Saccharomyces cerevisiae S288C: one gene and its partners. Changing the gene in region 2 together with the main gene of any one other region gives a genetic interaction. Each region holds a gene or a part of one and is shown on either strand. Other genes may lie near its edges. The genes, in order: MTC1, GDH2, FUI1 and IRC20.

The links.
Region 1: mutations in GDH2 (region 2) and MTC1 together harm fitness more than expected from each alone (negative genetic interaction), as found in Saccharomyces cerevisiae (2 studies listed by BioGRID).
Region 3: mutations in GDH2 (region 2) and FUI1 together harm fitness more than expected from each alone (negative genetic interaction), as found in Saccharomyces cerevisiae (2 studies listed by BioGRID).
Region 4: mutations in GDH2 (region 2) and IRC20 together harm fitness more than expected from each alone (negative genetic interaction), as found in Saccharomyces cerevisiae (2 studies listed by BioGRID).

Annotation. Positions count from the first base shown.
Region 1 is NC_001142.9:187,216-192,205, forward strand, and holds MTC1 (DUF5427 domain-containing protein MTC1), read right to left. Parts: upstream 2,226-4,990; coding exon 789-2,225; downstream 1-788. Other genes in the region: LSM1 (Lsm1p), read right to left, coding at 1-429; ALB1 (Alb1p), read left to right, coding at 2,501-3,028; ribulose-phosphate 3-epimerase RPE1, read right to left, coding at 3,159-3,875; YJL118W (uncharacterized protein), read left to right, coding at 4,424-4,990. UniProt on the Saccharomyces cerevisiae protein: Involved in telomere capping.
Region 2 is NC_001136.10:69,871-76,419, reverse strand, and holds GDH2 (glutamate dehydrogenase (NAD(+))), read left to right. Parts: upstream 1-2,501; coding exon 2,502-5,780; downstream 5,781-6,549. Other genes in the region: serine/threonine protein kinase PRR2, read left to right, coding at 1-1,974; COP9 signalosome catalytic subunit RRI1, read left to right, coding at 6,101-6,549. UniProt on the Saccharomyces cerevisiae protein: NAD(+)-dependent glutamate dehydrogenase which degrades glutamate to ammonia and alpha-ketoglutarate.
Region 3 is NC_001134.8:137,049-142,455, forward strand, and holds FUI1 (uridine permease), read right to left. Parts: upstream 3,213-5,407; coding exon 1,293-3,212; downstream 1-1,292. Other genes in the region: ECM13 (Ecm13p), read left to right, coding at 1-413; PRE7 (proteasome core particle subunit beta 6), read left to right, coding at 4,199-4,924; ERD2 (Erd2p), read right to left, coding at 5,064-5,407. UniProt on the Saccharomyces cerevisiae protein: High-affinity transport of uridine.
Region 4 is NC_001144.5:627,719-635,988, forward strand, and holds IRC20 (E3 ubiquitin-protein ligase IRC20), read right to left. Parts: upstream 5,637-8,270; coding exon 966-5,636; downstream 1-965. Other genes in the region: palmitoyltransferase ERF2, read left to right, coding at 1-479; serine/threonine protein kinase RCK2, read left to right, coding at 6,534-8,270. UniProt on the Saccharomyces cerevisiae protein: Is probably involved in a pathway contributing to genomic integrity.

The DNA of each region.
Region 1 (4,990 bases), on a different chromosome or scaffold from region 2:
ATCATTTTTTTGCTTGGTCAGCCAAGCCTCCTTAAATGGTATGCGTTCCATGGCCTCAAGGGGTTGATCTTCTTTATCGATGTCTACTTCGCCTAACATGACAACATTTTCACCACGAATCATGAATATGCCGCGGTCTTCTTCAGCGTATTTGTTTTCTTCGCTAAAATATATTCTCTCCACGCAATCTTGAAGTATCAAATTTGCATATTGGTCAAAGGTTCTTAGTACACCGAATAGCATTCTTCCATCACGCAAAAGAACGAAGATTTTACGGTCTACTGAGCTTACAATAGCAGCGGTGGTAGTGAAGTTATACTGGTCGAGATATAAATCGGCCTCACCTTCTGAAATCTTCTTTGGGAAATTCTGCTGTTGTCGCTTCGCATCCTGATTGGACTGATTTCTGTCCTTGCTATTTGCAGACATTTTTGGTGAATTAATTCGATTCGAGGGCTGCTTTCTTTTATAGGTTTTGAAAGCGGAGCAAATGTTGGTATAACTCTACTGCAGCGTTGGCAATCCTGTTGAAAAGGAAAAGAAAATATAACTAAACTGTGTTACTTGTATCTTCACTAATATTTAATCAGCCCTTGGTCATACAGGCTTCCCCTAGATTGAAATACAGGTGCTGAACACCGTTGTATATTCACGACTTCCTCTATTTTTTTCATATTTTCCATTATTCAACGAACGCGGGTAACAAGTCGGCCGAATTTGAACCCACTCCTCTGCGCTTGTAACTTTATACATCATCGTTACGCTATAAATGTTATGTATTAAGTGTATCAAAGACCCATACGGTCAATGACATAATTCTGTGCCATGACCCCAAATGACAAGCTTAATCCATCTTCGATCCATTCCTTTACCCATTCACTAGGATCAATGATCTCATCGTCTTCGTCTTCGTCTTCACTTTCTTTTTGTTTCTTTTGATCGTATGACTTATTCCTCTCCTCACTTGCTGTTGATCCTGTTTTCTCCACGGATCCTTCTAGCCAATTGACCCATTTGACAGGGAATCCTTGTGATCTTGTTATGGTGGTAATATCGTTAGTTATGTCTTTCAATACAAGGGTGAAATTGAAATTGCCTGGCGTATTGGAGTCGGTCACTTGAAAGTCACCGTCGGCATCTTTTTGTTTTTGCGGAATGGCAATTGGTAAGATGGATATGAATAAATCACTGATTTTATTGCTGTTACTGCTAATAGAACTCCTATCGTCATCTGGAGTGGCATCAGCCTCTTTCTGTTGTTTCTGGTATTCCTCATGTGCAGTATTGAAGAGTTTGACTGCATTTTCCAGGTTTGCAAATGCCAGTTTCTCACCGTCTGTTACCTTGCCGTCGAATAGATTAAACTGTAATTTTTTTTTAGAGTTGCCTAACTCACCGTCTGCAACTGAAGGCTTTTTTTCCACAGGTGTAATTCCATTATTGTTAGGATGGCCCCATTCATCTACAAATATTCTGATTCCTCCCTCAACTTGTGAGCTTAGAACTTGATCAAACTTGCTTTCAATATTGTATTGTAATGAGGGATAGTTAACCAAATCATGGACTAGATGAATTCGCAGCACCTCTTCAGTCTCACCAACAACGATTTTCTGTAAGTTTCTGGCTATTTCAGTAATCGTGCTCGTGTTTATCTTTGAAGTCAAATCAAGCTGTTCTTGGGCAAGTCGGTTTTTGATCTGGGATGCTTGTTCTGCAGTTTTATTCCAAATACTCGATACCTTTGCGGATCCAGAGGAGGACCACCAGTTTGAAATAGAAGCAATTGGGTCATGCAATGGGGTCTCCTCCTCCTCCTCTTCTTCTTCTTCTTCTTCCTCCTCTTCTTCTTCTTTCTCCTGCTGCTGTGGTTCCTTTTCCTTTCCGTGAGCGTCCTGCTCGGAATTTTTGTTTTCTTTTGATTCTTCTACTTTTTCGTCTTGTGCTTTATTATTAACTGATTCACTGGGAGCCTTCTTTTCAACCCCTTTCTTGTCAGTTAAGCTTAAGTTACTCTTCTCCAACTCTTCTAAGAATTCAAAGATATCATCGTCACCTTTCTTTCCATCATTCCCGGTCTTGCCCGCCACAGAATTAGAACCTCCCTTAACGCCTTCTTGGCTACCCTTTACGTCAGTATTAACCATTTTCCCGCCATTCTTTGCTTCTGGCAAAGAATCTAAAAATTCAAATACGTCTTCAGCCTCAGAGTTCTTATTTTCAGACATTTTGCCCTGGTAGTATGTATGTTTTTAATCGATTGAGTCTAGTTAACCTGTCCCTTGTTCTATTCTTCACCGTCTCGTCCAACTTCCATCAAAGAACCAGAAACCAGAAAATCGCCGGTTTCTTCCACGCGTCAATCCGTTTGGAATGATCTCATCGCAAAATTTTTTTTCGCTAAAATTTTCATAGAGAGTATCAATATTAATATATGGTTATAACTTATGGCGGCATTAGTCGATGAGGTGCTTGCCGAAGAGACTAGCACAGCCAACCCATAATGCCTTCTAAAAACTCCATCAACAGACCTAAGCTGACTTCAAATTTGCACCACAAGGTGCACTCTTTAAATAAGAAAAGAGCTCAAAGAGAAAGAGCTGGTCTCTTGAAGCCAGCTAGATCCAGCGTAAATTCGAAATCTGGGGAAATAAAATCAGTAGCGTTGGACCTATACTTCCAAAACAAGAAGAACGAAAGTCAGAATTCCACTGCTGTGACATTACAAAATGCTTCATCTTCTCCGGCCTCCATCACCACGAGGACACTTTCCAAAAAGAGAGCTAAGAAAATCGAGAGAAACTTAAAATATGCTACACAGAGAAAATTATTGGTTGACGCAAGCGCTAAGCTAGAAGACGAAATGGATATTGATCTAGATGGCGGTAAGAAAGTGAAAGAGAATGAAAAGAAGAGTTCTTTGACTTTGGTTAAGGAAGCCTTATGGAGTGTCATTGACGATACTGCATCCCAGGGATTGATCATCGAAAACGGACAAGGCACCACCCTGGGCGGCCCATTTTTCCCATGAGTTAGGCACTTACGTATCTTGTATAGTAGGAATGGCTCGGTTTATGTATATTAGGAGATCAAAACGAGAAAAAAATACCATATCGTATAGTATAGAGAGTATAAATATAAGAAATGCCGCATATGTACAACTAATCTAGCAAATCTCTAGAACGCAATTCCTTCGAGACTTCTTCTTTCATGAAGGAGATAACATCGTGCGGGTCAGCTGCAGTGAAAACACTGGTACCAGCGACAATAACGTTGGCACCGGCTTTGGCGGCTTTCGGGATGGTCTCCTTGCCCAAACCACCATCGACTTGGATATTCAAATGGGGGAACTTGGCTCTCAAAGTTTCCACTTTTGGCATCATGTCTTCCATGAATTTTTGGCCTCCAAACCCAGGTTCCACAGTCATAACAAGAGCCATATCCAAATGAGGAGCTAGTTCAAATAAAACGTCAACAGAAGTACCAGGTTTGATGGCGCATGCAGCTTTGATGCCCTTAGACTTAATCAACTTAACTAAATGCAAAGGGTCTTGTGTGGCCTCGTAGTGGAACGTAAATTGGTCAGCACCACATTTAGCAAAATCGTCGACCCATTTTTCAGGATTTTCAACCATCATGTGACAATCGAAGAACGCAGTGGGCTTCTTTTCTGTGTTGCTAGCATCGCCAGGGCGTGGCACAGAACGACGTAGGGAGGTAACAATTGGTTGGCCCAGAGTAATGTTTGGAACAAAATGGCCGTCCATGACATCGATATGTAACCAATCTGCGCCGGCGTTGATGACCTTATGACATTCGCAACCCAAGTTGGCGAAGTCAGAAGCAAGGATACTGGGAGCTATAATTGGTTTGACCATTTTTTCTTGTGTGTTTACCTCGCTCTTGGAATTAGCAAATGGCCTTCTTGCATGAAATTGTATCGAGTTTGCTTTATTTTTCTTTTTACGGGCGGATTCTTTCTATTCTGGCTTTCCTATAACAGAGATCATGAAAGAAGTTCCAGCTTACGGATCAAGAAAGTACCTATACATATACAAAAATCTGATTACTTTCCCAGCTCGACTTGGATAGCTGTTCTTGTTTTCTCTTGGCGACACATTTTTTGTTTCTGAAGCCACGTCCTGCTTTATAAGAGGACATTTAAAGTTGCAGGACTTGAATGCAATTACCGGAAGAAGCAACCAACCGGCATGGTTCAGCATACAATACACATTTGATTAGAAAAGCAGAGAATAAATAGACATGATACCTCTCTTTTTATCCTCTGCAGCGTATTATTGTTTATTCCACGCAGGCATCGGTCGTTGGCTGTTGTTATGTCTCAGATAAGCGCGTTTGTTATGCGAAAAAAAAAAACTTTACAGAGGCTTTGTTTATATATAGAAAGACCACGAAAAAAACAGTGATGGCTTCATGCTTTTCAGTTTCATTATTGGCACGAGTAGCAGTCGTTGAGCCCATCAGAGTGCAACTTTGGTTAAATGTCGTAAATTGTATGATTGAATCATCCATGCACCAATGTCCTCCACGGGATCGCCACTTTTTTTCTTCATCACGCCCCATTTTGTTGATCCGACGTTCTGTATCAACTGTATACAGATTCGTTGCTTCTCGCACCACACAGGTTTTACGTGCGGCCAAGACCGTTGTCAAGTGGTTCATTATTGTCGACCCACTGATAAATTCTATTCTAATCAATTATCTCATTGATAGGCTCTGCACTCTTGGGCATGCTGTATTGCGAGTGAAAAAGCGCAAGACCGAGGAGAGACAACCCTGTTCTCCCATTATACAACACACACACGTTAAGAGACGCAAACGGCCTCGTCTGAGGATCGTAGCCATCAAGAGGAAGCGGAGGCGTCGAAGACCACATCGCATCGAGCGTCCACTCTCAAATATGTACCCAATAATGGAAATCCAGATGGTGGCTGTTCCACTTGCTCTTCCCAGTCCAACTGCACTGGTGCAT
Region 2 (6,549 bases):
GGTGTGAATATGGCTGCTAAGACGGGTGAGGCGCTAAATAAATCATATGATTCCGTTTTTTCTTCTCTCCCTGTTGCAGATAGTGTACCTCGGACAGACTTTACTGCATCTTCCCGGGATGATGAAAACACGGACGTGCAAAAGCTGACCACTTCCTGGATGGAGAAAATTGACACGAAGATGCCCGAAAACATATCTAAAATCGACTCTAATATTATTTCCTCTCCCATGGTCAGTAAGGTTGAAGCAAGATTTATTGTTCCTAAAGGAAGATTGAGGAAAAATTCTACCGATTTTACGTCATCTTTCTCAAACTCGTTAAGTTTACCCAAAAGTTATGGCAAATTAATTTTCTTTACATCAAAGAAAAACAGCAGTAGTACCAAAAAAAATCTAGCGAATGATATCAGTGATAACAAGCATAACAACAATTCTTCTAATACTATCGGTCACAATATTCCAGTCACGACAGCCACGGCGACATGTGATGAGATTGCATGCACCTCCACAGAACATGAATATAATGTTTATGAGGAAGAGAGGATGTTCACTACTCGTGTATATTCTCTAGAAGATTCGGTCTCTTCACTGTCCACGAATCCTCTCGACGACACGTATTCAGAAGCAGTGCAAGTAAATACAAGACATATCGAGGACACTGAAAGCACGGCCCATATAAGAAAACACTCCTATACTACGTCATTGTCAAGTATCAAAAGGCTCTTCAAAATAACGTCTTTTAGCAATAACAACAGTAACTCATGCGATCACCAGGAAAGCACAGTTGCAGATGATTGCGCTATATCATCATCATTGAAGGAAACAACTTCTTCGCCAGTCTCAACTGGATCATTCTCTCTCATGATCGAGAATGAAGACAGCGATAGAGATCAGATTATTCAGGCTTTATATAGTAATATTGAAGCATCCACTGACTTGGTTTCCAGGAAATATAGAGATCTCGACGTTGTTCTCGGCGAAGGTTCTGGTGGTAAAGTGAAACTGGTCCAAAGGGTCCTGGATAATAAAGTTTTTGCATTAAAGGAATACAGGTCAAAGAAAAAAAGGGAATCTGAGAGAAAATACATCAAGAACATAATTTCTGAATATTGTATTGCCTCCACATTGAAGAACCCAAATATTTGTGAAACATTGGAAATACTGTATGAGAAAGGTAAAATTTTCCAAATTCTCGAGTATTGCGAATATGATTTATTTTCTTTGGTTATGAGTGAAAAGATGCATTACGAGGAAATATGCTGTCTTTTTAAACAGCTGATCAACGGCGTAAAATATTTGCACGACATCGGTCTCTCTCATCGTGATTTGAAGCTAGACAACTGCGTTGTAACACGAAGGGGAATCTTGAAATTGATTGATTTTGGCGCTTCCAGTGTCTTCCACTATCCATTGTCTTCACAGATGATTGAAGCAAATGGAATTGTTGGTAGCGACCCCTACTTGTCACCCGAAGTCTTTTATTTCAATGAGTACGATCCAAGAGCACTTGACGTTTGGTCCGTGGGGATAATATTCTTTTGTATGATAACGAGAAGATTTCCTTGGAAATATCCCAAAGTGAAAGATGTTCAATTCAAGGCATTTTGTTCCGGAAGAGGTGTGTCATCTTTTAAAGATCTTGTGACACGGCCTGCTACCGATGACAGCAATAATTATGATAATGATGGCTACGAAGAAGGAGTCATTGATATGGGTCCCAATTTCATTCTGCACAGACTACCAGAAGAAACTCACAAAATAATGAGGCGTATACTGGAAGTTTCACCTTTCAGAAGAATTACCATAAACGGAATATTACAAGATGGCTGGATCAAAGAAATAGAAACGTGTCAAGTTGTGGGCGCGGCAAGCCCAAATGAGGCATCGCTTCGAATAATAAACAAAGGTAATCACATACATACAAACATCGATCAACGATACGCCCACATTGGCGGCCTGCATCAGCGAACGTAACTGGAAGAATAGCAATGTCATACTGGCCATATGCTCCAGCTTTTACTTACGCAAGTAATACTTACAGCACTGTAACCATAGGTACATATACGTGAAAATACGACTATATCTAATCTAATCTGTCATTTATTTATTTATTTACCGTCGGAAAACCAAGTCCGCTTGAAAAGGGTTACCCATCTGGCGGCTATGTGTGCGGCGATTCCGCAGGACCGAATTTAATACTGCCTGACGGCGTGCCACAACAAGGAGCAATTGGGGTAAAAATACACATTAATAGTTGAGTAGGACAAGTAACTACGAGTCAACGGCGGCATCAATAACAATAACAAAAGTTATACTGTCGACATCAACACTGACAAGCGTTTACTCATTGCTGCTGTTTAGTCAGAATTCTTGTTATATAAGAACAACCGGTTTCTAAAAAATACATTACCTTTTGGTATAATCCTTTTTGTGATTGTCACGATCTCAACAAAACATACAAAACAAGGATATTAAATTCACAACAATAAAAAGAATAAAGAATGCTTTTTGATAACAAAAATCGCGGTGCTTTAAACTCACTGAACACACCAGATATTGCTTCTTTATCAATATCATCCATGTCGGACTATCACGTGTTTGATTTTCCCGGTAAGGACCTGCAGAGAGAGGAAGTGATAGATTTGCTAGATCAGCAAGGGTTTATTCCCGACGATTTGATCGAACAAGAAGTAGATTGGTTTTATAACTCATTGGGTATTGACGATTTGTTCTTCTCGAGAGAATCTCCCCAATTAATCTCGAATATCATACATTCTTTGTATGCTTCAAAGCTAGATTTCTTTGCGAAGTCCAAATTCAACGGAATTCAGCCAAGGCTATTCAGCATTAAAAACAAAATTATAACTAATGATAATCATGCCATCTTTATGGAATCTAATACTGGTGTCAGCATAAGCGATTCTCAGCAAAAAAACTTTAAATTTGCTAGTGACGCCGTCGGAAACGATACTTTGGAGCATGGTAAGGATACCATCAAAAAAAATAGGATTGAAATGGATGATTCTTGTCCACCTTATGAATTAGATTCCGAAATTGATGACCTTTTCCTGGATAACAAGTCTCAAAAAAACTGCAGATTAGTTTCTTTTTGGGCTCCAGAAAGCGAATTAAAGCTAACTTTTGTTTATGAGAGTGTTTACCCTAATGATGATCCAGCCGGCGTAGATATTTCCTCTCAGGATTTGCTGAAAGGTGATATTGAATCGATTAGTGATAAGACCATGTACAAAGTTTCGTCGAACGAAAATAAAAAACTATACGGTCTCTTACTTAAGTTGGTTAAAGAAAGAGAAGGTCCTGTCATTAAGACTACTCGCTCCGTAGAAAATAAGGATGAAATTAGGTTATTAGTCGCTTACAAGCGATTCACCACTAAGCGTTATTACTCTGCTTTGAACTCTTTGTTCCACTATTACAAGTTGAAACCTTCTAAGTTCTATTTAGAGTCGTTTAATGTTAAGGATGATGACATCATTATCTTTTCCGTTTATTTGAACGAGAACCAGCAATTGGAAGATGTTCTACTTCACGATGTGGAGGCAGCATTGAAACAGGTTGAAAGAGAAGCTTCATTGCTATACGCTATCCCAAACAATTCTTTCCATGAGGTTTACCAGAGACGTCAATTCTCGCCCAAAGAAGCTATATATGCTCATATTGGTGCTATATTCATTAACCATTTTGTTAATCGTTTAGGCTCTGATTATCAAAACCTTTTATCTCAAATCACCATTAAGCGTAATGATACTACTCTTTTGGAGATTGTAGAAAACCTAAAAAGAAAGTTAAGAAATGAAACCTTAACTCAGCAAACTATTATCAACATCATGTCGAAGCATTACACTATAATTTCCAAGTTGTATAAAAATTTTGCTCAAATTCACTATTATCATAATAGTACTAAAGATATGGAGAAGACATTATCTTTTCAAAGACTGGAAAAAGTGGAGCCTTTTAAGAATGACCAAGAGTTCGAAGCTTACTTGAATAAATTCATTCCAAATGATTCACCTGATTTGTTGATCCTGAAAACACTGAACATCTTCAACAAGTCTATTTTGAAGACAAATTTCTTTATTACAAGAAAAGTAGCAATATCATTCAGATTAGATCCTTCCCTGGTGATGACAAAATTCGAATATCCAGAGACACCCTATGGTATATTTTTTGTCGTTGGTAATACTTTCAAAGGGTTCCATATCAGGTTCAGAGATATCGCAAGGGGCGGTATTCGTATAGTCTGTTCCAGGAATCAGGATATTTATGATTTGAATTCCAAGAACGTTATTGATGAGAACTATCAATTGGCCTCTACTCAGCAACGTAAAAATAAGGATATTCCAGAGGGTGGCTCTAAAGGTGTCATCTTATTGAACCCAGGATTGGTAGAACATGACCAGACATTTGTCGCCTTTTCCCAATATGTGGATGCAATGATTGACATTCTAATCAACGATCCATTAAAGGAAAACTATGTCAACCTTTTACCAAAGGAGGAAATATTATTTTTTGGCCCAGATGAAGGAACTGCTGGTTTCGTGGATTGGGCAACTAACCATGCTCGTGTGAGGAACTGCCCATGGTGGAAATCATTTTTGACTGGAAAATCCCCATCTTTGGGTGGTATTCCCCATGACGAATATGGTATGACTTCTCTGGGTGTTCGTGCTTATGTTAATAAAATTTACGAAACTTTAAACTTGACAAATTCTACTGTTTACAAATTCCAAACTGGTGGTCCGGATGGTGATTTGGGATCCAATGAAATTCTTTTATCTTCGCCAAACGAATGTTATTTGGCAATTCTGGACGGTTCAGGTGTCCTGTGTGATCCTAAAGGTTTAGATAAAGATGAATTATGCCGCTTGGCACATGAAAGGAAAATGATTTCCGATTTCGACACTTCCAAATTATCAAACAACGGATTTTTTGTTTCTGTGGATGCAATGGATATCATGCTACCAAATGGTACAATTGTAGCTAACGGCACAACCTTCAGAAACACCTTTCATACTCAAATTTTCAAATTTGTGGATCATGTCGACATTTTTGTTCCATGCGGTGGTAGACCAAACTCAATTACTCTAAATAATCTACATTATTTTGTTGACGAAAAGACTGGGAAATGTAAAATTCCATATATTGTGGAGGGTGCCAATCTATTTATAACGCAACCTGCTAAAAATGCTTTGGAGGAACATGGCTGTATTCTGTTCAAAGATGCTTCTGCAAACAAAGGTGGTGTCACATCTTCATCAATGGAAGTGTTGGCCTCACTAGCGCTTAACGATAACGACTTCGTGCACAAATTTATTGGAGATGTTAGTGGTGAGAGGTCTGCGTTGTACAAGTCGTACGTTGTAGAAGTGCAGTCAAGAATTCAGAAAAATGCTGAATTAGAGTTTGGTCAGTTATGGAATTTGAATCAACTAAATGGAACCCACATTTCAGAAATTTCAAACCAATTGTCCTTCACTATAAACAAATTGAACGACGATCTAGTTGCTTCTCAAGAGTTGTGGCTCAATGATCTAAAATTAAGAAACTACCTATTGTTGGATAAAATAATTCCAAAAATTCTGATTGATGTTGCTGGGCCTCAGTCCGTATTGGAAAACATTCCAGAGAGCTATTTGAAAGTTCTTCTGTCGAGTTACTTATCAAGCACTTTTGTTTACCAGAACGGTATCGATGTTAACATTGGAAAATTCTTGGAATTTATTGGTGGGTTAAAAAGAGAAGCGGAGGCAAGTGCTTGAGCTTCAATAAAATTGTTTTGTATAAATTAGTTCTGCCGTCAGAAAAGAAAATTAAACATATGTGTATGTTCTTCTCAGCGTTTTATTGTGTACTAAGTAAAGTTGTTTATATGTCCATTATTTTTAATCTAAAAAAAGCATTTGATATTTTTTCCTTCGAGTTATCCATTATACTAGGCAGTTCTCCTCAGGGAGCCATGCTTCAGCTGAAACTTTAGGAAAGGCGCGCTACGCAGGAAGCGCTCTTATTAAAGGGTTTTTCAAATAAACTAAAAATGAATAACAACGATCGAAAATCAATAAAAACTGCAGGAGGCAGCATGTCACTTTCAAATAAGACTGTAAAGGAATTACGACAACTACTAAAGGAAAGGTACACCGTGGAAGATGAACTAACTGAATCTATAGCGCTATCAAGTATGCGATTCAAGCCGTCGCAAGAACCTGAATTTCATGCGCTAAGCCAATCTTCCTTGCTCAAAACTAAACTAAAACAACAAAGTAGTACAGATATTCCGAGTTACACCCACGTACTTATATCAAAATTATCATGTGAAAAGATCACCCATTATGCAGTTCGTGGAGGAAATATTGAAATCATGGGCATATTAATGGGGTTCACATTAAAAGATAATATTGTTGTAATGGATTGTTTCAATCTTCCCGTAGTAGGGACAGAAACTCGCGTAAATGCACAATTGGAGTCATACGAATATATGGTTCAATATATCGACGAGATGTATAATCATAATGACGGTGGTGATGGGCG
Region 3 (5,407 bases), on a different chromosome or scaffold from region 2:
ACACTCTATCTTCTACTGACAGTGAAGACGATGATGATTATGAAGACTATGATTTTGAGTACGATTACTCTGGCGGTGATTATAACAAGAAAATTGACATGTACTTTAGTTTTCACACCGCACCTAATTATCAATATTTGACTCACACAAACTCTCATTCCGAGCAGACGGATGAACTTGCCGAATCAACGCCGCGCTACAATGCTCTTCCCGCCACTGCCTCTACGACAGAGGAAGAACAGGACACTGAAACGCTCGATGCTGTGAGTTTGCATAGTTCAGCGCCAATCTTCCGTGTGCTCTCTCGGCGGGTAAATGGACAAGAAGATGACAGCGAAAACGAGAGTAGTAGCGATGTCGACGATGGTTCCGTACCATTAACGAGATTTCATTCTTGTCCTATCACAGCATAAATTAAAATGAAGGAAATAACACAACTTCGTTTTGCATTATCATATTCACATCTGCATCCTATTTTTTTTTTCTCATTGTTGTTGTATCATTATTACTAACTAGTGCATCACCACTTGTCTAAATACCAAACGCAAAATATATATATTCTTACTTCATAACGTTCAAAATAAAGTTTTTAGTTTAAAATAAAATAAAATAAAAAAAAAAAAAAAAAAAAAAAAGAACCTTTTGTTTTCGCCCAGTATATGGGTAAATTAACGGTTCCTTTTATTAGTCATTTTCAACTCTATACCATGCTCCAAAACGGCGTTCGGCACAGGTTTTTTATTTTACCACGATAACTCAATATGTACAAGATTATTGCATAGGCGAAAAGTAAAGTTTTAATATGGTACTTTGCGCAATAAAACTACGAATTCAAACGTAAAATAAGACTACAGAGACTAAGGTAAGACCTGTTCTGCTCAGATAAGTGGCGTTGTCCAAGTATCAGTTCTACGGGAACGTAAGAAAAAATTTTGCGTGAGCTCTCTTGAGAACCAAACCTTCTTTTTTTTTTTTACGAAATGCTATTTCGTTGCAGTGAGAAGGATTTTTTGAAAACAGAAATGAGTTAGGCCAGGCTGCTCGTACTCGCTTAAATTAGGAGTGCGAGACTGAAGACCTATGGTAAACAAGACTTTTTTTAACTAATCAAGCATGCGTAATGTTATTTTTACAAAATAAAGGTTACAATTTGAGATTATGCAGAAGCATATGTCTATATGTATGCAACAAATATGATGAGGCCTATGCAGATTATAAGTAAATTATTTTTTTTTTTTTTTGGCTTTGACATTATCATGATAAGGTGCTACTTGCGTTGTTAACAATTGTGTTTAGATATATCGTATCTTTTCATAGCCAGTGGAAACGCCGCCATATTCTTCAAAAGCTTCTCTTTCAGTTCCGAATTCTTCTACTTCGACCCACTCTTCGAGCCATTTACGGTCAGTTATCTTGGCATCGCCTGGAATACCCTTAATTGGGTAAAAATACACTAAAATGCAGTAACTCAATGCTGCAAGGAGATAACCAACGAAATAGTTTAGGTAGTAAACTTTCATAGCGCCAATAGGCACAGAAACTCCCACTGAACCTAAAAAGCCTGCAAAATTAGGAGCAATACCAAATATATAAGCTACCACCGCCCTCCAGTTCGTACCATATTTATTGTACATGTAGTACGATCCTGGCTTGTCGGTGTAGCAATGGAAAATATTAACGTAACCCTTTCTGACAATGAAGTAATCGGCTGATATTACACCCGCAATAGCACTTAAGAAAACTGCATATGCCGCTAGTGCCGTAGTAAACTTTGACGATGATGATAATAAATCCCAGGGGCAAATCGCCAACGATATTAGAGCACAAATATAAGAACCGCGTCTGATATTGATGAATTTAGGCAATAATGCAGTCAGATCGGTACCTGCAGGGATCGAGTTACCAGACAAGTTGGCACCCAGCTGGTCAAACGCAAAAATGAAAGATATTAAGAATACACCGGCTCTGTTCCCCGAAGTATAGTTATCCAAGTACCTGTTCAGAATGTCTAGGGGACTCCAATAATTTACTCCGTACAATGTATAAGCTGCGGAGACAGACAATATTCCGATTAAGGAAATAATGGCATAGCAGACGGGTAGCGCAATCAATTGCGAGTAAACAGATGACTTGTAGGTCTTACCGAATCTAGTGAAGTCAGGAGCGTTTAGGATTAAAGTAGAGAAGTTATCCAGAGCACTCATAATAGCTCTAATGACAGACCATGCTAAAACCGTCTTGCTGATTGCGCCACCATTGTCATTTAGGGAACCCAATGCCAAATGACCTTTGGCCTTACAAAGAGTCCAAATCAAAAAACCGAAGGCCGCAAATGGAGTGATGGCGGATTTGAGTGCAAATATATGACGCAATTTGTCAGGTGGAAACCATAGGAACGGTAAACATGCGACCCAGAAGACCATGAAGCACATGAACTCGAAGTTCGTCAAATTGGGGTTCTTTATGGTGTCTTTGATTCTAGTATTCAAATTAGTACCGAAGATAGCCTTTAGCATCAACTGAACACATTGACTACCGATATAAGCCAAAGTAGAATTCCAGACACATGCCATGACGACACGGTTGATGACAATCCAGATGGAGAAGTAGATACCAAATGATACTCTTGAGGAAATGGGGAAAGAGATATGGTAATTGTTCCCCACTTTGGAACCCAGTATCAAGAAAAATGCGACAAACGTGTATCCAACCCAAATACAGATCCAAGTCTGCCACCAGTTAAGCCCTAACTGTAGCCCAGTGGCTGAGATTTGCCATGTATTGACGTTAAAGGACCCAGAAATCCAAAAGAAAATGTACTGCTTCCATGTCCACGTTCTTCTTTTTGCCTCCACGGGCCGCAGATCTGTGTTGTACAAGTACGTCGAACGGAGGGACTCCTGTAAATCTTTAAATGTCCTAATTGGATTTTCGGGCTTATGATCGGCCAAATCGGTAGAGTCATTCTTAACCTCAAAAAACTCGACAACTCTTTGCAGCCAAGACACCTTTTCGTCATCCTGAGCAATGGTTATATTGTTTTCTGAATCGGTATCTTTTTTTTCAATGACATTAGCATCAATCTTAGAAGTAATTTTAGTCGCATCACCCATCTCGGACTCTTTCGTGATTTCTTCGTAATCCTCCGTCGGTATAGTGTCGTCCTTCATTGTTTTTGAAGAATTATCGAATCCAGAATCAGATACCGGCATTTTCTCTTATATAGAATTAATGAATGAGAGGACTAGTTACCGCCTTTTATTTCCGCAATGTGCTGCAAAGTAAAGCAAAGCTGTCCAATACTATGTTTTAAATTTTACAAGAAGGTCGAAGCAATACTACTGTTATATAAAAGATAGGATAGCATGTCATCGAGTAATTGAGCAAGAGAGGAAATGAAAAACTTTTCCGTTGGAGAATTGATCAAAAATTTTCAAAAATACGACATGTCCCTGTGTTGTCCAGGCTGACACAATAGTTTCAGTAGCGAGAACCGCCAAGTTTTATTGCAGCATCCTTTAATGGCAAAGATGGCGCGATAAGGACGAAACCGGCAAATCCCGAGCATCAACCACAGTGAACGCCGCGGAGAAACTCAAAGGCGAAAGGGGAGAAAAAAAGAAATTAATGGCACATACCGCTTTGTGGCATGGCTCAATCACATTTCTTTTTCTTCTTTCTGATCGCCCGCAGGAGAGGCAGCGCCGTTTGTGTCCCATCGCAAGGACAAACTAGCTAGGACATGAGACTTCTAAGCCGTTCAGTCGAAAGAGTTAGGGCATTAGTCTCTAAAGATAAGTGTGGGGGCTTGGTTGAGTCTTGATTTAAAAGCTTGGAGTAGGCATTTTACGATCTATTTTCTCTCGAAATAAAGTAAAGGTATTGCTGCAAAGGAATTGCCGTAATATTTAAAACTTCTTGCTTAAGTGATGTAAAGGCAGTGAGGCGATAGCAATGTTTCGTAGAGCCTGTGACTAGTGAAGCATAGGCAATAAATTGTTTTTTTTTTCTGATTTTGTATTGCCGTCTCTGCGTCGCAGAGATTTGGTGTTCGTACGGAGCGATAATTGTTTTTATCTTTTCCAACTTAAAGGATCGAGGAAACTCAAAGGGTGGCAAAAACAAGCGGTATAATACAAGGTGAACTGAGTTGGAAAGAGAGTAGCCAAGACTATTGAACTATAAAGTTAAACAAAATATGGCCACTATTGCATCAGAATACTCTTCGGAGGCGTCAAATACACCCATTGAACATCAATTCAATCCTTACGGTGATAATGGTGGTACAATCCTGGGCATTGCAGGTGAAGATTTCGCAGTGTTAGCAGGCGATACAAGAAATATCACCGATTACTCAATTAATTCTCGTTATGAACCCAAGGTTTTTGATTGTGGTGATAACATAGTCATGTCGGCGAATGGATTTGCAGCAGACGGCGACGCTTTAGTAAAAAGATTCAAAAATAGTGTAAAATGGTACCATTTCGACCACAACGACAAAAAACTATCTATAAACTCTGCAGCAAGGAACATTCAACATCTTCTGTACGGGAAGAGGTTTTTCCCTTACTACGTTCATACGATCATTGCGGGTCTTGACGAAGATGGTAAGGGCGCTGTCTATTCGTTCGACCCAGTTGGCTCCTACGAAAGAGAACAGTGTAGAGCAGGTGGTGCTGCGGCATCATTGATCATGCCATTTTTGGACAATCAGGTTAATTTCAAAAATCAATATGAGCCAGGTACAAACGGTAAAGTCAAAAAGCCTTTGAAATACTTGTCCGTGGAAGAAGTCATCAAACTGGTGAGAGACTCGTTCACTTCTGCTACAGAAAGACATATACAAGTGGGTGATGGGCTGGAAATCCTTATTGTCACCAAGGATGGTGTAAGGAAAGAATTTTATGAGCTAAAAAGAGATTAATGCATACATATCATAGTATAAAAAGAAATAGACCAATATCAACATCAATTTTATGTATTTTTTTTTTCTTTTGGTATAGCATTGATATATTGAAATTTGTATATATTGCTGCGAACACTATTTAAAACAGGTTTTTTTTTTATTTTGGCAGTTTGAAACCCTTTCCTCTGATGACTTTAGTGTAGTAAATGTAAAAGAAATCAGAGTACAACAGAGTTTGCAAAAGTCCCGCGAAGAAGGCAATCTTGTCCAATTTTTTATCTTCCGTGCTGTACCTCCAAATCCAGTTAGGAATATACAATGCTCTGTATAATCCCATGGCAAAAATATAATGAACAGTTAGACTTCTAGTCTTCCCACCCTTAGATAGCATGTACAATTGAGGTAGAATAGCCACACTCTCCAACCATACAGAAAAACTCCATGCTAATTCAAGAAAAGTGAACTTGTGATGGAAAAAAACACTCATTAGAGCACTCCCAA
Region 4 (8,270 bases), on a different chromosome or scaffold from region 2:
ACCATTGCATATGGGTCAATAATTGCATAGGAAAAAGGAACTACCGGTTCTTTTTAATATTCCTGTTAGGTGCAATACTTTCGTCCGTCATATTATTAACTAATTGTGCCATCCATATTGCACGGGAATCAGGGGGGCCTCGCGATTGTCCCGTTGCAATATTGTTACTTTGCTATGCAGGGCTAACCTTATGGTATCCGGCAATACTGTTTACTTATCACATATTTATGGCAGGTAATCAGCAAACAACAAGGGAATTTTTGAAAGGTATTGGATCGAAAAAAAACCCTGTATTCCATCGTGTGGTCAAGGAGGAAAACATATATAATAAGGGGTCCTTTTTGAAAAATATGGGTCACTTGATGTTAGAACCAAGGGGCCCAAGCTTTGTAAGTGCCAGAAAGCCACATGAAGCTGGAGATTGGAGATTTATGGATTTATCGCCAGCACACAGCTTTGAAAAAATACAGAAAATATAAGGAAGTATAGATATAAAGAACTCAGCGACACAGTAGTACGTAAAATATAAAAAGGTTACTGAAAGGAGTGAATTCCGCCATAGTATAGGTTGAGTATACGCAAATAAACGTTGGAAATTGGCTAGAATGTTAAAAAAAACATTCATTAAAAGGTTCTTTTCGTATAACTTTTACAACAAATAAGTGGTTGTTTGGCCGAGCGGTCTAAGGCGCCTGATTCAAGAAAATATCTTGACTGCAGTTAACTGTAGGAATACTCAGGTATCGTAAGATGCAAGAGTTCGAATCTCTTAGCAACCATTATTTTTGCCTTCCGAAAATTTTGAAGCTACATATTAGCACTCTTCTTCAGATGTCAGACAACGTGCAGCATCTTTTTTTCCTACCATTGAATATATATATAGTAATTACGGCAACCGTTTATATAAAAATTCAAAAGATTAAATATTTTAATATATTAGTGTCTGGTTTAAAAGTCATACTTCTCTAATCACTACCGTGAAAAAAGCAGTTCCATAAGTGTTCATTACTGACTTCTTGGTCTACCACGCTTATCTCAAACTTCGCATCATCGCTTTCCTCATTATCCGTTTCATCTTGTGCTTCGTCGTATTTATCGCCTTTTTTTGACTTCTCCTTTCTTTTGCGCTCTTCGAGTATACATTTATATCTGAGGATGTTTTCTTCAACGGTATTTCTGATCATGAAATTCCACACAAAAGTTTCTTCATCTTGTCCTATACGATTATTCCTTCCCATAGCTTGTAATTCATCACTATTATTAAGGATAGGATCTAGTAGGAAAATATGTTTTGCATTTATCAAATTCAGGCCGGCACCTAAAGTTTTCACATTCAAAAGTAGGCAAGTGACGGAAGGCTGGCGTTTGAAGTTATTTATAGTTTCGCCAACATTGGCTGTATTAGATAGACATGCCAAGTGTTCAATGTGATACAACTTTAATACCTTACCAATGACCTTTAAATATTCTGTCTTTTGAGAGTATAGAATAACTTGTGGCGGATCAGCGTTTTCCTGCTCACTTTTTAGCCTCAGGTAAGATATTAACTTGATGACGAAATCAATCTTAGCACCAAAACTTTCCTTTATGTGAATTTGATGGACTTCATTAATTTGATGGAATTGCTCGTATTTATTTCCGAATAATTTTTCTACTTCACTCATATTGGATATAATCGAGTTTTCATTTGAATTATCTTGAGACGAATCGGCGCCCTCTCTTCGTGGCTCTTGAATTTCTTTTTCCCTCTTCTCCGTTGAGTTCTTGAACTTAAAGTTATAGACTTCCGATATACTACAGAAACCTTTGCATATAGGGCATTTACTATGGGCTCGTAGCCACGTAAGGATACAACTCTTGCAAAAATAATGTCCACACTTAATGATAGCACCTATTTCAACTTCTCCCAAACAGATAGAGCAGCTCAATATTTGATTATCGTTTAATGTGTCTTTCAATCTGGACAAATTTTTTAAATATATCAGCCGTGATTCAATGTTATTGATTTTTGCATCTAGTGTACCGCCCAATGACTTATTGATAGTTCTTATTAGATGGCTGAGTTGTGGAGCACTCAAAGAGTGCAAGGACACCAATGAATCGGAAATCCTCTGTAATTGACTATAATATTCCGTCTTGGCATTATAAATCGATCCCAGGATTTTCAAAGATTCTCTTACCTGTTTATTGTACTTAAACAGGCTTTTACTTTCAACTTCGTACTGAAGTAAGTAGTCCTCAAAATTTTGAATGGTAGATTCACTTTCATTGCTTGAGGATATCCGTCTTACTATCCTGCTGTTCTTCAGTTCATCAAAAACAGTTCGTAGAGGTGTTCCTGAAATCAAGCGCAAGCTGTTCAATAACTGCTTTTGATATTTTGAAATTATTGAACCTTCCGGTACCAAATGCTTCGGAATTTTAACTTCTGATTCTGAAGTTAAAATATTGTCCCTATTCTGTAAAATTATCTCCAAGCAACCAAGAAGACTGAATATCTTATCTTGACTGTCAATCGATGTTGAATATTCTTCATTACCGATAATTTTATTAGTGCTATCATCGTCCTCTGTCCTGTGGACAGGTTCATAGATAATAATGAGTAACTCATCCAATAACTCGTTGAAGTTTTTAGTTTGTTCATTCAACCCTTCTATCAACTTACTCAAAGACTTGAAACAACGAGATACTGCTAAATTAGATGAGTAGTCATTTTTGTGGTCAAATTCAATATTGATTAATCGCAAAGGTATATTGCTCGTCATAGGAGCAAACTTAGTTCTGGCCATTTTAATAGTCATATCAACTTTTCTAGCCTCAGAGGAGAGGATTGACTTCCTCAAAATTTCTGCATTCGCATAATTTTCTTGTTCTAAAAGTCTATTCTCTTCAATTTCCTCTAACTCATTTTTTGGAAAAACATCAGAATACACCACTTCTTCAGTCTTCTCTTTTCGATGCTTGTCGTCCGCCTCTTCTAGCTTACGAGTGCCCAAGTTATAGTAAACAGAACCGAGGAAGAAGTAGCAATCATGCAGTAAATTCATCATAGCACGTAATCCTTTCTTCTTCAGGTGGTTGGATAACATTCCGTCATTGTTGTGATTATCATGGTTTTTAGCACCATTTATTTCTCTATCGCTTTCGTCGCCTGAAGATGTTTCCTTCTCACCAAACCTCTCGTCCATATGTTCGTCCTCATCTTCACTGAGGTTTAACGACTTATCAAACGGATCCTCAACGTTGAATTTTTGGCGTATGTGTATCATCAAATCATCTCTGATTTTGATAAATGATTCAAGGGCTTTGGCCGGAGTATTGGAAATTTCAAGTTCATACTGTGCCTGCTTGATCGATAAATGGAATCTCTCTCTGTAATAGCCAATTAAACTGTCAAATGCATCCATTCGCATGGATATTAAGATATCGTCTATATTTGAAATTCTTGACAAGTGCCCGTGAAGGCGCTTCTGTCGGGTACTTAAAATTTCTGGAAATAATGCATGGCAACATATATATCGCAGCCTAGACAACCATTCGTTTAAAAAGGCATTGCTTACACGGGGTGATCCACTGCCATCCGAATTATAGCCACTCAACTCTAAAAAATTGTTCCAAAGATTTAAATAGTTGTCCCACTCGATAGGCGCAAACTCCAGGGGAATGATGAAGTTGTGTTGCCGCGGAATATGAATCTGAGACGCAACATTGGCTTTCGAATGCCTTATGCAAAGATCATACCTGTAAAAAATGTTCATACAATCCTTGATAGAAAACCGAACGCCCTTTAATTGGCATACAAAATCATTACTAGTGTAATCTTTAGCCTCATTTCTTAGTTTAATTTCTTCTTGAAGTGTCCGAATAAAGTCTACCTCATCACAAAATGGATGCAGCTTTAAATAAGACATGATCATCCTAAAGTTGTAAATGTTCTGTATTGGAGTCCCGGAAACACCCCAAGTGTGTATTCTATGAAGTAAACTCGTGCATTTTGCAGAATATGTTGATGAACTACGTAGCATTTGAACTTCATCCAGAATGATTCTATAAAACTGCATCAAAGCTAACGGTGAAGAATAGTCATACTTTGGGCTTTTCAACCTTCTCGATCTGATACTACGGTTAAACTCAGCATGATGGACCTCCGTGGCAATAATGTTATATGATGTAACTATAATATCGTATTGGCACAATTGTTGAACAGCTTCGTCCACAGTTTTGCAATCTTTCATTATCTCATTATATCCTCTATAGGTATACCATTTTAAGGAATTTGCGTGTAATTCGATTTCTTCGAGCCATTGTTTTAAGATAGCATTGGGACAGATAATCAAAGTCGTCTTTGTCTTCGTGATTGTTCTATTTTCATCGTCAATAAATGTTGCCTCTGAGTCCTTCAATTTCCTTCTATTTAAGAGTATTAGTGATAAAATTTCAATAGTTTTGCCCAACCCCATCTCTTCTGCTAACACCCCCTTTGCACAAACTGGGTAGTCGCCGCTTAACCTTTCCTTCCTATATTGGTTGTACAAATGTGCAGCATCTTCTGTAGTTAGAATATATCCTGTTAATTTGTTCCATAACAATGATGGCCCTACCTCGTCAGGGCTGCGTGCAATGAGCTCGTAACCGTATGCATAGTACTCGTTCATAAAATCTATAAGCCCTACTTCGTCGATGACTGTAGGTGTATCACTAAGAGAATTACCATGCCCTTCTTTAATTAGCATCCACTCAACGCTCTCTCTTTGAAATGGTAAGAGGTTAACTTTTAGGTCTGGTATAGATTGGGGTAAGAACGGTTTGATCTTTGATAGCCTATCTTTACTATATTCCAAGATTTGAGAAATAAATTGTTTTTGAATGAAGTTTGAATGGATATGGCTGTGCTTGTGATATCGCTCAAATTCGTTCTCGTCCCTATTAGAGAACGTCAAGTCCAGTATTTGGTTAGCCTCCACGGAAAACCGGTTGAATTTATTATTTAAAAACTTCAACTTCAAATTAAAAGATAAAACCCATGTTAAAGAGGAATCATTGTATCGGAATACGACTGGAGAGCATTCAAAATCTTTGTAGGACAAAGATAATTCGTGTATACGACTTTTTAGTAATTTTTCAGGATCGTTAACATTTGAATTTTTTTTTCTTCTCTTTCTTGATGGTTTGCGTTCTAAAGATTTACGATTTTCTAACTGATTTCGTAGGGCCCTTTCTTGGTTTTTATGAGCACATATATCCAAGATCAGCGGAAGTTGTTTGTCAACAGCGATTTTTGAATTGTTCTCCATTTTAAATCCAATTTGAAATAAGGATACGGAATCTGACGACACAACAAGTGTTGCCTCGTTATCATTTTCACAAGGTAAGATCTCTATATCAACAATAAATTTAAATAACTGCCTACCGTTGTTGGAAAGACTTATTCGCTCTGGTATTTCGATATTTACCGAGGCAACGTTGATTAATTCTTTTCCGTTCTTGCTAACTTTTTGAGTTACAGTCTCTTGTTCCTGATTTAGCGCTGGCAATGCTGCTATCACTGAATCAAAAGAACCATTTTCTAGGAAAAAGTCGCATTTTTCGGCAGTCACGTTGTACTCCCTTGCTAATAGCGCACCTACTGCAGACATTTACCGTCGAATAAGTTGGCCTTTCCTGGAGTTCATTCCTTTAGACAGCGCCTAGAAAGTGGCAAATCAATACATTCATCAGCCACATTTCATCAGCTGTAGATCTGGAAAAGACGGGTAGCAGTTCGAGTGTTCCGAAAAAGGAAAAAACGAGCCTTATCCTTGGTCAGAGATGCGAGCAGGTAATTCCTTGAGCTCTCATAGGAGTGAAGCTATCCCAGACTCCTTGGATGTCCCTGTATTTGCGGTCAAGTTTGTTCTTTGACTGGTTCGTCATTTCGAGCTCACTTAAAAACAGGAGTTATTCAGCTACATCTTCAAGCTAATAAAACATCCGTTGCGCAGGCACTCTTTTTAGTAGTTGCCATTTCCTTTATTCTTGAAAGTACGAAGGCTGAAAAAGAGCCACTACGATCCAAAAAATCACCGTTAGTTTTAGTCGTCCACGAGTACGTTGGCATAAAGTCTAGTAATCTTTTTACTTTATAGCAATCAAGAGAAAAAAGGAGGATAAAGGGACATTTATTTGTTATTGTTTTTTGTTCTTTTTAAACTTTTTTACTGGCTAGGTTTAAGGTTATAATTATAAATCCAGTGATTAAGAGGAAACCTCGTCAAGAATCCTAGATAATAGTAATCAGCGACAGTTATTTCAACGAAGTCAAACTCTATCTCTGGGGCTTTATCTCTCCTATTGACATCTAACTTTTTACAAACGCTTACTAGAAAAGACGGATCGGCCAAAGAAAAAAAAAGAGTGACATCGAAAAAATTAAAGAAAATAAAATCCCAGATAGTTCATACGTTATTTGAAGTACAAACATTTAACGATTGGAAAAGACGAAAGTATTGTTAAGAGTACTGCTTATTTAGAGAGGATCAAACAAAATCTCTTCGATGCTTAAAATAAAGGCCCTTTTCTCGAAAAAGAAACCGGATCAGGCAGATTTGTCTCAGGAATCTAAAAAACCATTCAAGGGTAAGACCAGGTCAAGCGGTACAAATAACAAAGATGTTTCCCAGATTACTTCTTCCCCTAAGAAAAGCTTTCAGGACAAAAATATAGTTCAGTACCCGAGTGTTGTCGCAGATGACCATCATATGAAGTCTTTAACCGATGAATTAGTAACCACGATAGACTCGGACTCTTCACCGAGTGATAATATTACCACGGAAAATGTGGAAACAGTTACTTCCGTGCCAGCTATCGATGTCCATGAAAGTAGTGAAGGTCAATTAAGTTCCGACCCCTTAATATCTGACGAATCTCTTTCGGAACAAAGCGAGATTATCAGTGATATCCAGGATGACAGTACTGATGATGACAATATGGAAGATGAAATTCCGGAAAAATCCTTCCTCGAACAAAAGGAATTGATAGGTTACAAGCTGATCAATAAAATCGGTGAAGGTGCTTTTTCAAAAGTCTTTAGAGCCATACCTGCTAAAAATAGTTCTAATGAATTTTTAACTAAAAACTATAAAGCTGTTGCCATTAAAGTTATCAAAAAGGCAGATTTATCCTCGATTAATGGTGATCATCGTAAGAAGGACAAAGGGAAGGACAGCACTAAAACTTCTTCCAGAGATCAAGTCTTGAAGGAAGTTGCACTACATAAGACGGTTTCCGCTGGTTGTTCACAAATTGTCGCGTTCATAGACTTCCAAGAAACAGATAGCTATTATTATATTATTCAAGAGTTACTAACCGGTGGGGAAATCTTCGGCGAAATTGTTAGGTTGACCTATTTCAGTGAAGATTTATCAAGGCATGTAATCAAACAATTAGCACTGGCTGTTAAACATATGCATTCACTAGGTGTAGTGCATCGTGATATAAAACCTGAGAATCTTCTTTTTGAACCGATTGAATTCACACGCTCTATAAAACCAAAATTGAGGAAATCGGATGATCCGCAAACAAAGGCAGACGAGGGAATTTTCACACCAGGAGTTGGTGGTGGTGGAATTGGTATAGTAAAACTAGCTGATTTTGGTTTGTCTAAACAAATATTTTCCAAGAACACCAAGACTCCTTGTGGTACAGTCGGTTACACTGCCCCTGAAGTTGTCAAAGATGAGCATTATTCTATGAAAGTGGATATGTGGGGGATTGGTTGCGTTTTGTACACAATGTTATGTGGGTTCCCGCCATTCTATGATGAGAAAATTGACACTTTAACTGAAAAAATATCAAGGGGTGAGTATACCTTTCTGAAACCTTGGTGGGATGAAATCAGCGCCGGTGCCAAGAATGCCGTGGCTAAGCTATTAGAACTAGAGCCGTCTAAAAGATACGACATTGACCAGTTTTTGGACGACCCATGGTTAAATACATTCGATTGTTTACCAAAGGAGGGCGAATCTTCACAAAAGAAAGCAGGTACTTCCGAAAGACGCCATCCGCATAAGAAACAATTCCAACTATTTCAAAGAGACTCCTCGCTACTGTTTTCACCAGCTGCTGTTGCTATGCGTGACGCCTTTGATATTGGTAATGCTGTGAAACGTACCGAAGAAGACCGTATGGGAACACGTGGAGGATTAGGCTCGCTTGCTGAGGACGAAGAATTGGAAGATAGTTACAGTGGCGCCCAAGGCGATGAACAGCTGGAACAAAATATGTTCCAATTA